Drosophila melanogaster: one gene and its partners. The protein of the gene in region 1 interacts with the protein of each later gene in a pairwise test. Each region holds a gene or a part of one and is shown on either strand. Other genes may lie near its edges.

The links.
Region 2: the proteins of Trmt61 (region 1) and Tmlh interact in a two-hybrid assay, tested with the Drosophila melanogaster proteins (one large-scale study listed by BioGRID).
Region 3: the proteins of Trmt61 (region 1) and Trmt6 interact in a two-hybrid assay, tested with the Drosophila melanogaster proteins (one large-scale study listed by BioGRID).

What each region holds. Positions count from the first base shown.
Region 1 is NT_033777.3:26,057,552-26,061,793, reverse strand, and holds Trmt61 (tRNA methyltransferase 61), read right to left. Parts: upstream 2,299-4,242; 5' UTR 2,215-2,298; coding exon 2,046-2,214; intron 1,992-2,045; coding exon 1,533-1,991; intron 858-1,532; coding exon 532-857; 3' UTR 501-531; downstream 1-500. Other genes in the region: CG14551 (uncharacterized protein), read left to right, coding at 146-482; RpL34a (ribosomal protein L34a), read left to right, coding at 2,750-2,814, 2,877-3,300; Tcs6 (Threonyl-carbamoyl synthesis 6), read left to right, coding at 3,607-3,641, 3,705-4,005; PIG-P (phosphatidylinositol glycan anchor biosynthesis class P), read left to right, coding at 3,971-4,242.
Region 2 is NT_033777.3:20,406,108-20,409,575, reverse strand, and holds Tmlh (trimethyllysine hydroxylase), read left to right. Parts: upstream 1-1,704; 5' UTR 1,705-1,752; coding exon 1,753-1,942; intron 1,943-2,001; coding exon 2,002-2,906; 3' UTR 2,907-2,961; downstream 2,962-3,468. Other genes in the region: eIF3g2 (eukaryotic translation initiation factor 3 subunit g2), read right to left, coding at 428-1,249.
Region 3 is NT_033779.5:6,558,910-6,563,521, forward strand, and holds Trmt6 (tRNA methyltransferase 6 non-catalytic subunit), read right to left. Parts: upstream 2,752-4,612; 5' UTR 2,659-2,751; coding exon 1,668-2,658; intron 1,608-1,667; coding exon 1,264-1,607; 3' UTR 1,143-1,263; coding exon of another isoform or gene 859-1,142; 3' UTR 803-858; coding exon of another isoform or gene 622-802; 3' UTR 517-621; downstream 1-516. Other genes in the region: COX5B (cytochrome c oxidase subunit 5B), read left to right, coding at 30-136; COX5BL (cytochrome c oxidase subunit 5B-like), read left to right, coding at 622-802, 859-1,142; Ent2 (equilibrative nucleoside transporter 2), read left to right, coding at 3,788-4,612.

The DNA of each region.
Region 1 (4,242 bases):
TCATTTCTCCTTTATTTTTCACCCTAGCAACATAATTATAGTTCAAATTAGCAACAGATTTAATAACCTATTGATCAAAGTAATATGCATTTGTTTTTTTTTTTTGTAATTCCCCATGTAACATCTTCTCACCTGATTATTTTAGTTTTCTTAACCGCGAGAAGCTTTTTGCCACCCGTCCGTACTCCAGCCTCCCGGAAGTGGTCACCATTTACGGAAAACAACCGCCGGGACCACTTATCTATGGCATGCTGCCCAAACCGGCGGTTGTGGGTCGGTGTCCCACCTGCAGCGGCAATCCGGAGCGCACCGAGGTGGCCATACCCGAGCAGCGAACTCCTTGGGCGCCCGAGAGAAAGTCCTGGAACCGGAAGACCCAGGAGCAAGTAAAGCCGCATCGATGCTACCACTGCGGATCTGTAAAGACCAGCGAACGCAAGTACTTCGAGGAATTCTCCTACTCTTACTCCTACGACGAATGATGTAGATCGTGGTTCGTGGGTCAAATAAAAGTAAATTCAAGTTTATTCATCAGGCCTTGGGTATATTTGGTGGCAAAGTGGCGAAGGTGAGGAAGCCCGTGTGACCGGGCAGGGTTTGGGGATTACTGGAGGTCAGGTACTTCTTCACCTCCTTTGGCGCCTTGCTCTCCAAGGCATTTGTTGCCGCCGTCGTCTCATCGGTTTTGGGCAATTTAAGGAACTCAAGATCGATGACGGGCAGCGTGCGCGTCTTCACCACGTTCTCCTGCTGCAGCACCTCCAAGGAAACAATCTCGTTGAAGCCCAGCTTGGTTAGCTCTTGGATGCAGCGCTGCGACTGCTCAATGCAGGGCGAAAACGAACAGAAACGACCTCCTGGAAAGAAAGAGAATGGGAAATCCGGTTATACATTTTTGGTGCCTTTTCTGCTCGACCTCAATTGTAATTACTACATTATAGCTTCTTAAAATTTAAATATATTGGTGGGCAAGCTTTCCCTAACTCTTTTGGTATTGGATATGCCTGACAATTTATTTGTGCCTCCAATACAGTAGCACCCTAGGTTTGGTGCAAACCTGCTGTACATTGGAAGCTCCCATCCGCCTAATGACAAACTCGCCCGGTCAGCCTGCCTTGGCCGCATCAAGTGTCAAAAGCGGGCTCATTCAATGTCAAACACAGTGAAATGGCAGCCGGACTGACTAGCTGACTGGATCTTTGGCTCTTTGGATGGATAACTGACTGACCTACCGACAGTGTTGCAATATAGAAAGCATTGAGGTACCTTTTATCCAATTAGGTACACTTAAGCCCTTTTTTCTTTTTAAAATGGAAGTAAGTTTTTGTTAAGTTATTTTACTATAACTAAAATTTAAGCTGTCTAAACAAAGTTGTCTCCTAGGTACAACTTAGTGTACCAATTTCGACGATTTATTGCATGTATGTGAATGTACCTGGTCATCCCAGTTAACCCAACATATCCGCCTGATTGCCGGATTGCCCGCAAAAGGGCGCTGACAACTAGTTGTCAACGCGATGTTGGCCACTCACCGGACAGCTTCAACGCCTTGAAGGCGTGCGGCACAGCGAGATCGGGCGCGGGCAGATCCAAGAAGACCGCATCGGCCTTTCCGTCCAGTTCCGCACCAAAGCCCAGATTGCAAACGTCCCGGTGATAGACGGTGACGAAGTCAGCGATACCATGTCGCCGGAACTCGTCGCGTGCCTGATCCGCTCGAGCTTCGTGGAAATCGAAGGTGTGCAGGTGGCCAGTGGGTTTCAGTGCTCTTAGAAAGTAATGCGATAGAGACCCCGATCCCGTGCCCGACTCAACCACCACGGCACCGGGTCGGACCTCCAGCTGGTGGATAATCATACTAATATCCGGCGTGTAAATAATCTGTGTGCGGTGGGGCAGTGTTTGTGTCCAGAGTTCCGGCGTCGGCTGAAGGACATGGGCCCAGCCCTTGGAGAGCTCCACTTTACTACCATACTCCACGCCGATGATATCTGGAATAGGAATTGGGATTAGGAGAATCCGTTAAATCTATAACTTTAACTTACTTTCAACTTTTAGCGATCCATAATTGGTCTGAAAAATATGCGGTATTGTTTCGCCCTTTTTGTTCACTATTTCGGGCACCGCTTCGATGGCATGCATGGAACTGACACTCAAATAAAGGATGACCACATCGCCCTTTTCTATGTGGGTCTTGGGTTTCAGAAAACTCATGTTTTTAGTTAAAAACCGTAAGAAGATTTTTTTATTTACAAAATAGCCGCGTGTTTAAGCAATAGAGATGGAAGTTTGGTAATCAACAGGCTATCGATAAGTTTAAGTAAAGTGGCGGGTCAGGGCTACACAAAGTCCAATAATGCATATTTGTACTTTTTGGAAGTTTACATACTAAAAAGTTTAGTAGAACGAATAAACAACTGGTTTTGGTACTAAATAATATATATTGTGTCAGTTAAATGTGTTCGAGATAAATGTTTTGAAATTATCGATAGCAATTAATATCATCAATTTTTCTTCCAGCTCTAGCTTCTCTTCTTCCTTCTTTTGATTTCCGGAGAGGTTTGTGTTTTAATTGTAATGATTATTTTGATTGCAAAAAGCGCTTTAGTGACGTTAATTGCGATGCAAAACTAGACTACCATGTAGTGGCAACGCACTTCTGATGTTTCGTCTTTGTTCTGTTTTTTTCCATGAATTCCTTGGAAATGGTGTTTATTCCGGGTGGTCAATTGGATTCAGAAGCTTTAAAATGGTCCAACGCTTGACTCTGAGACGACGTCTGTCGTACAACACCCGCTCCAACAAGAGGCGCATGTGAGTAGCAGGAGATATGCTGTATATCCCACGATAACTAAGGATTTTCCATTTGTTTACAGTGTGCGCACTCCCGGAGGCCGTCTGGTGTACCAGTACGTGAAGAAGAACCCCACTGTGCCACGCTGTGGTCAGTGCAAGGAGAAACTCCACGGGATCACCCCCTCCCGGCCCAGCGAGCGTCCCAGGATGTCCAAGCGTTTGAAGACCGTCTCCAGGACCTACGGAGGTGTCCTGTGCCACAGCTGCCTGCGAGAGAGAATCGTCCGCGCTTTCCTCATCGAAGAGCAGAAGATCGTCAAGGCTCTGAAGAGCCAGCGCGAGGCTTTGGTCAAGCCCGTCAAGAAGGTTGTGGAGAAGAAGCCGGTGAAGGCTGCCGCCAAGAAGCCCGCGGGAAAGGCAGCCGGAAAGCCAGGTGCCAAAGTCGCCGGCAAGAAGCCCGCTCCCAAGGGCGCTCCTAAAGGAGTCGTCAAGTCCAAGAAGTAACCATTTACCAGAAGGATTTGTTTGGAGCAATGATATTGAACACCTTTTTTTTGTAATAAAGAAACCACAAATTGAAGAAATTAACGTTTTAATTGACAGCTTATTTCCCATTGTTATTAACTTCAAAAACTTAACAAGCGCTTAATTTAAAACATAAATGTGATTATGAAGAATGCTCATTTTTAAACATTTGAATTCTTCAATCAGCTGTTCACGAGATAAACAGCCGGTGAATGCTTCTTCTTCATAAATTGTCATTAACTTTCTCCGTTGACATGTGAGCATTTCAGATTGGTTAAAACTTTTATGATGCCACAAATTGCAAATAAACCAAATGAATCGTAAGTTTAACCATTTAACAAAGAAATAAACATAAATTTAGTAATAAATATTCGCCTCATTAGCATAATAAGAGTGCCGTTTGAGACGCCACGATTGGCCGAGATCGCCTACAAAGTCCTCGGTGTCGACCAGGAGCCGCGCCGGAATTTCGTGAAAAAAACTTTGAGCCTGGAGAACGATGTTCTGGTTGTGCACTTTCAGTCGGATCAAGTGAAGAGCCTGCGCACTGCCATCACCTCCTTCTTTGAGTGCCTGCTCCTGTGCCAGGACACCATCAACCAGTTCGGAGACTCCAAGAAAGAGAAACTAATCCCCGAGAGCAACGACAATGCCGGAACACACTCCAGCTCCGACTCCCCATAGGGCGGTCTATGGTTTCGCCTTCTATATGCTGTTCACGGTCCTCTTCCTCGTATACGTGACTTGGGCGCTGCTGCCAGTGGAGTTTGGTCTGCACTCGTATCTGCCGGACAAGTATTTTGCCGTATTTGTGCCTTTTCTGGTGCTGGTCTTCGCCTGGTTCTTTGCCTTCCTCATCTATCCTGCCATAAATCTATCGATGACAGTGGATGTTGATTCCATTGCCTCGGTGGTGGATCC
Region 2 (3,468 bases), 5.7 Mb from region 1:
GTACGGCTGCGGAGCACGGCGAAAAAATCGCATTTAAAACGGAGCATTATCGGCTTTAGTTCGCTCAAGGCGAGCTTTCTCTTTTATGCACTTAAAAAAAGCATCCACCTTGGATGTCCAAGGGTATATCAACTCGAAAATTGAGTGGTCCCAAATGAACCAGACTGTTTTTAACAATTTTCATATCTATCTCAATTCATATCCTTTGCTCAACTGAAAGATGAAAAAATCTACTACGAAACATTAATAAATAGATTTTATATTATTATTAATATATTCTCTGTAATTATCGAATGTGTGCAAATTAAAAATAAAAGTGGTCGCATATTTTGCAGGGTGTACCAGAATTTTATTTTGATTTCACTGCCACCGCAGCTCATTTCCGTTCTCGAATAAGCAGAGAAGCGAATACACAAGGCTATAGCCATTACGGCTGAGGCTTGGACCACTCGACGCAGAGGATCAAGTGGTCGTAGCCGTGGCCATTAAGAACCTCAATGGCGGCAGCTGCATCCTGGCGGAACTTGAAGTGCACGTAGGCGAATCCCTTGCAGAGGCCGCTGTTTTTTTCGCGCGCCAAATACATCTTGGTGTGTGGTCCGATTTTCTTTACCAGCTCCTCGAGATCAGTCTCGGTCATGGATTCGGATAGGTTTGAGATGCGAACTGCCGACGAATCGTCCCGATCCCGACCCCGTCCCCAATTTTTGCTGCCAGATATGCCTCCGCCGTCCTTCATGAAGGGTGGTACATATTTTCCGGTCTTGCTGGGATCACTTATAGCGGCAGCTGCAGCGGCATTGGCCTTGGTTTCCATCACGGTTTTGCTATCCATCGAGGTGCCCTTGTAGGGACAATTGACACTCCAGTGTTCGCCATTGCAAATGCGGCACTTGGCGATGTTCTTGCCGGGATCAAGTTGGGTTTCGTGGGTCTGGTCGAAATCTTTGGAGCCGATGAATTGCATAAAGATCTCCTCGGAGGCCATTGTCGTCTGGGAATTGGGTCCGGGCTTGTCCGATCGCGAATCCCCAAACTTAACCCAGTTGCGACGACGAGCCACAGCCTTCGGAACAATCTGCTTCTCGATCTTGAAGGTTCGCACCACTTTCACCTTCTTGCCATCATCGTTGAACTTATACTCCGTCACGTACTTGAAGTCGCCCTTAATGTACTCATTAGAAGGCGGCAGTCCATCCACATAGTCCGCATCCACCTCATCGGCCCAGGAAGTAACGAAAGTCTTCATTTTTTATGATTTCCCACACAACCGGTACAAAATGAATTAAAAACTTAGAGATCTCTAGTTTTAGAGAGAGTTTTTCCATTTGAATTTTACTTGGCCTGTTGAGATGGGAAAAAATCCCTTTCAATAAAAGATATTTGAAATTAATATTTATATTTTCTTTAAAGTAATGATTTTTTAATAAAAAATACAACAACTTGAGTAGCAATTCACTAAGATAACTTTGCAACAAAAACATACCATTCAATCAATCTTGATTAAATTATAAATTTTTTTACTTTCATGAGTTGTTCTTAATAATTACATATTGTCTTTAAATTCAATAAATTTATTAATCTTATAGTTATTCCGTAAACAAATAAGTTCTTATCTCTGACTTGAGCATGAAAGTAATCGCTCTCCTACTGATAACAGTACAATTAAAACCGAGCTGAAACTTAATCAAACTTTGAGCTGTTAGTTCACTTTCACTGCTCTAGTCCGTCGGTTGTTCTATTGGCATTAACATGTTGCTTTTGAAGCACCCGAAAACCAGCCAATCAATAGAAATCAATGAGTTTTGGCTCCGTGATCATTGTCGATGTGTGGAGTGTCTAAATTTCGAAACAAATCAGAGGCGATACGATGTCTTAGATCTACCAGCTGATATAATGCCACTAGATGTCAAATACGACGGGATGAATCTACAAGTGCAGTGTAAGAAAAAATTGATGTAAAATGCACCTAGCTTCGATTTTATTGGCCTGCCATTTTAGGGAGTGATGCTCACAAGTCGAACTATGACCTGGACTTTATCTTCGACTCACAGCTGGAGAGGTTGATAGGTCGGCGATCAAAGTCCACTAATCTGACACCATGGAATCGTAGCATTATCTTGCAAAACGAACGGCACTTACGATTCCCATTGCCCCAGCTGGTTTCCAGTGATAACGAAGTCAGATCCCTGGTTGAATCTCTGGTGCGTTATGGCATTGTCTTTATCGATGATGTGGCTCCCACCGCGAATATGACAGAATTGGCTCTGCGACGAGTTTTCCCCCTTATGAAAACGTTCTTTGGCGAAATGTGGACTTTTAGCGATAACCCCGATCACGCGGACACCGCTTATACCAAACTTTACCTGGGTTCCCATACGGATAATACCTATTTCTGCGATGCAGCCGGACTACAGGCTCTACATTGCATTGAGCACTCGGGATCGGGTGGCGAAAATTTCTTTGTTGATGGTCTGCATGTGGTTCACGAACTGAAACGCCGGTATCCCGCCGCTTATGATGTACTGTGCAGTGTCCAAGTTCCTGGAGAGTACATCGAAAAAGGGGAGCACCACTACCACACTGCCCCCATTATACAGGTGGATCCACTGACTCAGGAATTTGTTCAACTCAGACTAAATGTATATGATCGCGCCGTGTTTAATACCATCCCTCAAGCCGAAATGGCCGAGTTCTATGACAGTCTTCGCCAGCTTTTGCTAATCGTCAGGGATAAGCAACAGCAGTGGGCTCTCAAGCTATGTCCCGGCAGCATTGTTCTTTTCGATAACTGGAGAGTGCTCCATGGTCGAGAGGCATACACAGGAAGTCGTACCATGTCCGGTTCCTATGTGCAGCGCACAGATTTTCTCAGCAAGGCTCGAGTGCTGGGAATTATTGACTGAAAGCTTATTGAAAAATACCTAATGTATACCGAATTAAAACCTTTTATGAACTAAGAAATTATGATTTATTTTCTATACTTTCTAGTGCTCCGCATATTCCTTCAGCAATCATTTATGTATTATATGGTCCGTACCGACTTTTATACTTTTTGCAATGGGAAAGTTTCATGCGGATAACTTTAACACTGAGAGATTATTTTGTGGATAGAAGAACATTTAACATTGATCAATAATATATATACTTTACATGTTCGTAGCTGACTCCTTCACTTCGATGCAAGATACTGGCTTAAATCAACATCCTTTCTGCATATATATAAGTTTGCTTTTGATTGCTCAAATAAGAACATATTTTAAATTCGGTTCATATATCAGGAATAGCATACATTGTTAAAGAATCGTTGCGTATAGAAAAAAACACGCAAATTGTTCAAGCATATTTTTCTTTTTTCTGAACCGAGTCCCACTCCAATTCAATTTCGATTGCAAATGCTAACGTATCATAATAAAAAGTTACGATTACAATTGCTGGCCAGCGTCTAATTTTTGTCATAGGGGAGTG
Region 3 (4,612 bases), on another chromosome or scaffold:
TTTCTAACAAACCTTTCATTCCAAACCAGGCGAAGAGGATCAGACCTACGTGCAATGGATGTGGCTGCAGAAGGGCAACCAGAAACGTTGTGAGTGCGGCCATTGGTTCAAGCTGGTGGAGAAGGCAGCTGTTTAAAGTTATTATTAATTAATTCAATAAACCAATTAATAACAAAAACACAACAACTACTAAGCTAAAAGTCAACCCACTTAGCTGTCCAAATAAACAAACATCAACCCAAAAAAAAAAAAAAAAACGAAACTGTGAACAGAGAGGAGTGAAAGGGCGGCACAGCTTCCATTTTCAGATCTGCAAACGTGTTTTCGAACGCAGCCGAGGAAAATTGCTTAATTAACACAAAAAGCGAACAATAAAGTCTAAAGAAGAGATTTTGAGTGAAAATCAAAGGATTTATTTTAAAAAAGCTTGTCTAAAGACAGAAGAAAGTTGAATTTCGTTTAAAAATGTTTAAAATCGCAGAACTAATTTAATTTTAATAAGGCAGTAGGCGTCTTAATAAGAAATCAAACATTTTCAAAACCCTTTGATCAGATTCAACTCACTCAAAGTGGGAAATTCTCGTGTGATAACCATAATTTTCTAGATAAACTCCTTTAAAAATGTCGTCCTACATTTCGCGTCTACTTAAGGCTCAGTCCGCCTCCAAACGTCTGATCTCCAATTTAACCCAGCGCGACGGAAAGCTAAGCTCTTTGCTTCGACGACTAGGTTTACAGTGGCAAGGATCAGCCGCTGCTCCTCAACAGCGTCCCATATCCACAACTCAGGTGCAAAAGTCAGGTAAGTAGTGGTTGCAGCTTGCAAAGATCTCCAGTTCAGGTCTCATGCCCGATTAGCGCTAATTGCGGACGATCAACTGGTCACCGGGATTCAGAAGCGCGAAATGCTGCTGGCCAAGCAGGGCTGCGAGGACCCTTGGGGTTTCAGCAAGGTGATCAGGCGCGGATCGGGAAGGGAGAACGACCCCACCGTCGTGCCATCGGCGTTCGATGCACGCCTCGTAGGCTGTCTGTGCCTGGATGACCGCTTGCCCAAGTGGATGTGGATTGAGAAGGACGAGGGACCGAAGCGGTGCGAGTGCGGCCACTACTTCATCCTCAAGAATGTCCCACCCGTTTAGATCGATCACACAGAGCGCTGTACTTAACACGAACACACTTGGCATGATCCTCAGCTGGCATTAAACATTGCATGATATTATCAAAACAAAGGCTTACATGTATTTGTTAGACGCACAACAACTATCTAAGCGTATAGCCCGTCAAAAGGTAGCCACTATTTCCGCTCATATTCACTTCCGGATGTGTGCGATTGGGCAGGATCTGGTAGGTGCGCAGCCAGTTCGAGGTCAAGTGCAGACCCGTCACCTTGCCTGTTGTTTTCAGCTCCATGAATGTCTCTTGTAACAGCTCCTTGCAGGTGCTGAATACCACCACGGGTCTTGAGGGTTTCACAAGAGGCAGCAGGGCTTGCAGAATGTTGGATGGGTGCTCCTTGGCGGCCACCACCAGACTGTCGAATTCGGCGTGCATCAGGGCCGTGGCCCGCTTGTTTTCCAAATGCCAGCGCGGAGGTCCCTTTGCTCCTATAACAACAGAAATAGTATTTGTACTTGTCTTGATTAGTTTACTATTGTGACCAATACCTTCTCTACCACTATTTGACTCATCCAGCTTGGGTTTCTTTGTGGTCGGTTCTATCGCCTCAGGTTGTTCCTCCGTTGGCGTCTCCAGCTGGGTTTCCTGAGGTTCGTTTTCACTGGGCTCCACAACGGGAATATCTGTGGCCTTCGCGTCCCCTCCTTGGTAAAACTCCCTTAAAACGGAATAGAGATTAACGGAAACACATCGCTGTTGCTGCTCCAGGGGTAGTTTCAGAGCTGAGAGCGCCTGCTTCTGGGGCACATTGCCCGGGTGCATGTGCACCAGGGTGCCCTCCGTGCCTGCGCCTATAGAGTTGAGCATGGCAGCCGGCAGTAGACCATTGGTACCACTCTCGTACAGCAGATAGCTGCCGAATCCACAAACGCCCGAGTAAGAAATAATTTGCGATAAAGTGTCAACGCGAATGCCCATGACCTTTTCCGAGTCTTGGCGGTAGAAGATGTCCAGCATCAGACGGATCGTTGGCTGGCGGATTTGAACGAACTCGAAATACTTTTTCTCCTTCTTTAGCAGGTACTTCTCTTGGGAGTACTCCGTTCGGTTGTGGAAAGTCTTAGAATTCTCCACCAGCTTCTCGATGATTTTGCTGGAGTCGTTGCACTCCTCACGCAGCTGCGCAATGTCCTCTGGTTTCAGGGTCTGCGCTTCTCCATCATCCCGGATGTCCCGATTATCCGCTCCACTGCTGGAGATGCCCAGAACCTCTCGCGTGCTTCTCAGCTCAGTCTCGCTGCACAGCTCCAAGGTGTGTTGTCTCTGGGCGCCCCTTTTACCCGGCTTTGTCTCTTTGACGCACATCTTGAACGTGGAGCCATAGGGTTGGTCCAAAAGAGACTTCAGCTCCAGTGTTTCTTTGCCCAATGTGGCCGTGGTGTCCAGACTGCCGAATTTTTGTAGCTTCGTATATTTCTGCCGCTGGATGACGATGTAGTCGCCCAATTGGATTCTGGGGATGTCCTCTTCGGTGGCCATGGTTGCAACTCTATGTTATAATTCTTATAAACAACGTGTTTGTCGAAAACAAACGAAAGCCGCAAATTCTATAGAGAAGAGGAAGAGAAATTCAGTGCTGGAAAACGGACAAAATCTGGTAATCTAGTCACCTGTTGCATGTGATTAGTAACGAAATTTTAAATAAAGAGCTATAATTAACAACAAATTATTTTCTTAATTTGGCAATACAAATTCATTTATGCAAACAAGAATATTTGGATTGATATTTGACTGATCTGGCAGCTCCATTACCTGTTGCTTGGCCAAATGTTTCACAATTCTAATTAAGAAATAACCATGAGTACTTATACCAAAAATTTCATTTACTTTAACTAATTAATTTTTGATCATGCAATTAGAACATTCAAGCACAATATCAATACTCCTAGTTAAAATATACACAAAAATAATATACAACAAATATGTACATACATTACCCATTTTTGAGATAAGTGGCTGTTTGCTGTTGTGCTTTAATAAGTAGAGTTGGTTGCTATGAATGCTTAAGTTGAACATGGGTGTAGCTAACAGGGATGGTGAAAGTGTGAGTAAATACCTTGAATTACTATGACTAAGTAATAATCATTGCCAAAAATACATTATTTACTGCCCATACTTACGGTCCCTCTTGGCGATTACGGAAGGGAAGGACTGCGCCCATGCGTAACGGCACCCCTCAAATCGCTTGTATCGACGCCCATAAATCATAATTTTCAACGGTGTGGCAACGCCGTTCGATCGAGTACAGCTGATACAACGCGGCGATAATCTTGTAGTGCGGTGCGGTTTTAACCTTTGATTGGATCTGTGTTGTAATCAGCGCTCTTCGGGCACTGCAGTTGCGTCTCCACGTGACCACTAGTTCCAGGCGAACCCCCCGCCACGAGGATATACCCTAATCCCGAAATCAGAGTGCTGTCGCAGGCGCAGGGAAAATCAAACCTTCCCGCCCTCCTACCGGTTTTGTGGCCACCGCGAAAATAACTGACCGCGCAAGTTTTCGGGTTTCAAGCAAACGCCTCAAGCACACGCCCCAATAACTGCTGTCGCCCGCATCAGCAGAACCAGAAAGAAATCCGAGCCAGAGCAGAACAGAAGTCGCGCAGATATGGCGGAGGCTAAATCGGAGAAGTCGCCTTTTATTGGCAAACAGCAGGCGCCGGTGACGTTAAATCCCTCGTGGGAATCCAAGTTGCCGCCCCATGATTCCAACGGCAAGGGATCAACGTCGGTGTTGGCGAAACTGGGCCTGCCAGCGCCAAAAGATAAATTCCTTATCGTGTTCTTTATATTCCTGCTGCACGGCGTGGGCACGCTGATGCCATGGAACATGTTCATCACGGCCAAGTCCTATTTCGAGGACTTCAAGTTCGGACCAAACAACACCGTGGCCACGGAAGTGAGTTACCGCACCCATTTCATGCAAAATATGGGCTTTGCCTCGCAGATTCCTAACCTGGTCTTCAACTGGCTGAACATCTTTGTCAACTTTGGCGGCGACCTGACCACCCGAATCGTCTACAGCATCATCTTCGAAATGGTCATTCTGCTGGTTACCATTATTTTGGCCATGCTCGACTCCTCGCAGTGGCCGGGCGTCTTCTTCTGGACCACCATGGTGTGCATTGTGTTGTTAAACGTGTGCAACGGCATCTACCAGAACACCATATACGGAATAGTGGCATCGTTGCCCATCAAGTACACAGGCGCCGTCGTCCTGGGCTCCAACATCAGCGGCTGCTTCACCACCGCCATGGCCTTGATATGCGGTGAGATCTTCTCGTCCAAGAGGACTTCGGCCATCTACTACTTCGTGACCGCCATCCTAGTGCTGCTGCTCTGCTTCGACACGTACTTTGCGCTGCCGCTGAACAAGTTCTTCCGGCACTACGAGACCATTAGCCGGAGCAGCGAAAAGAAATCTGATTCTAAG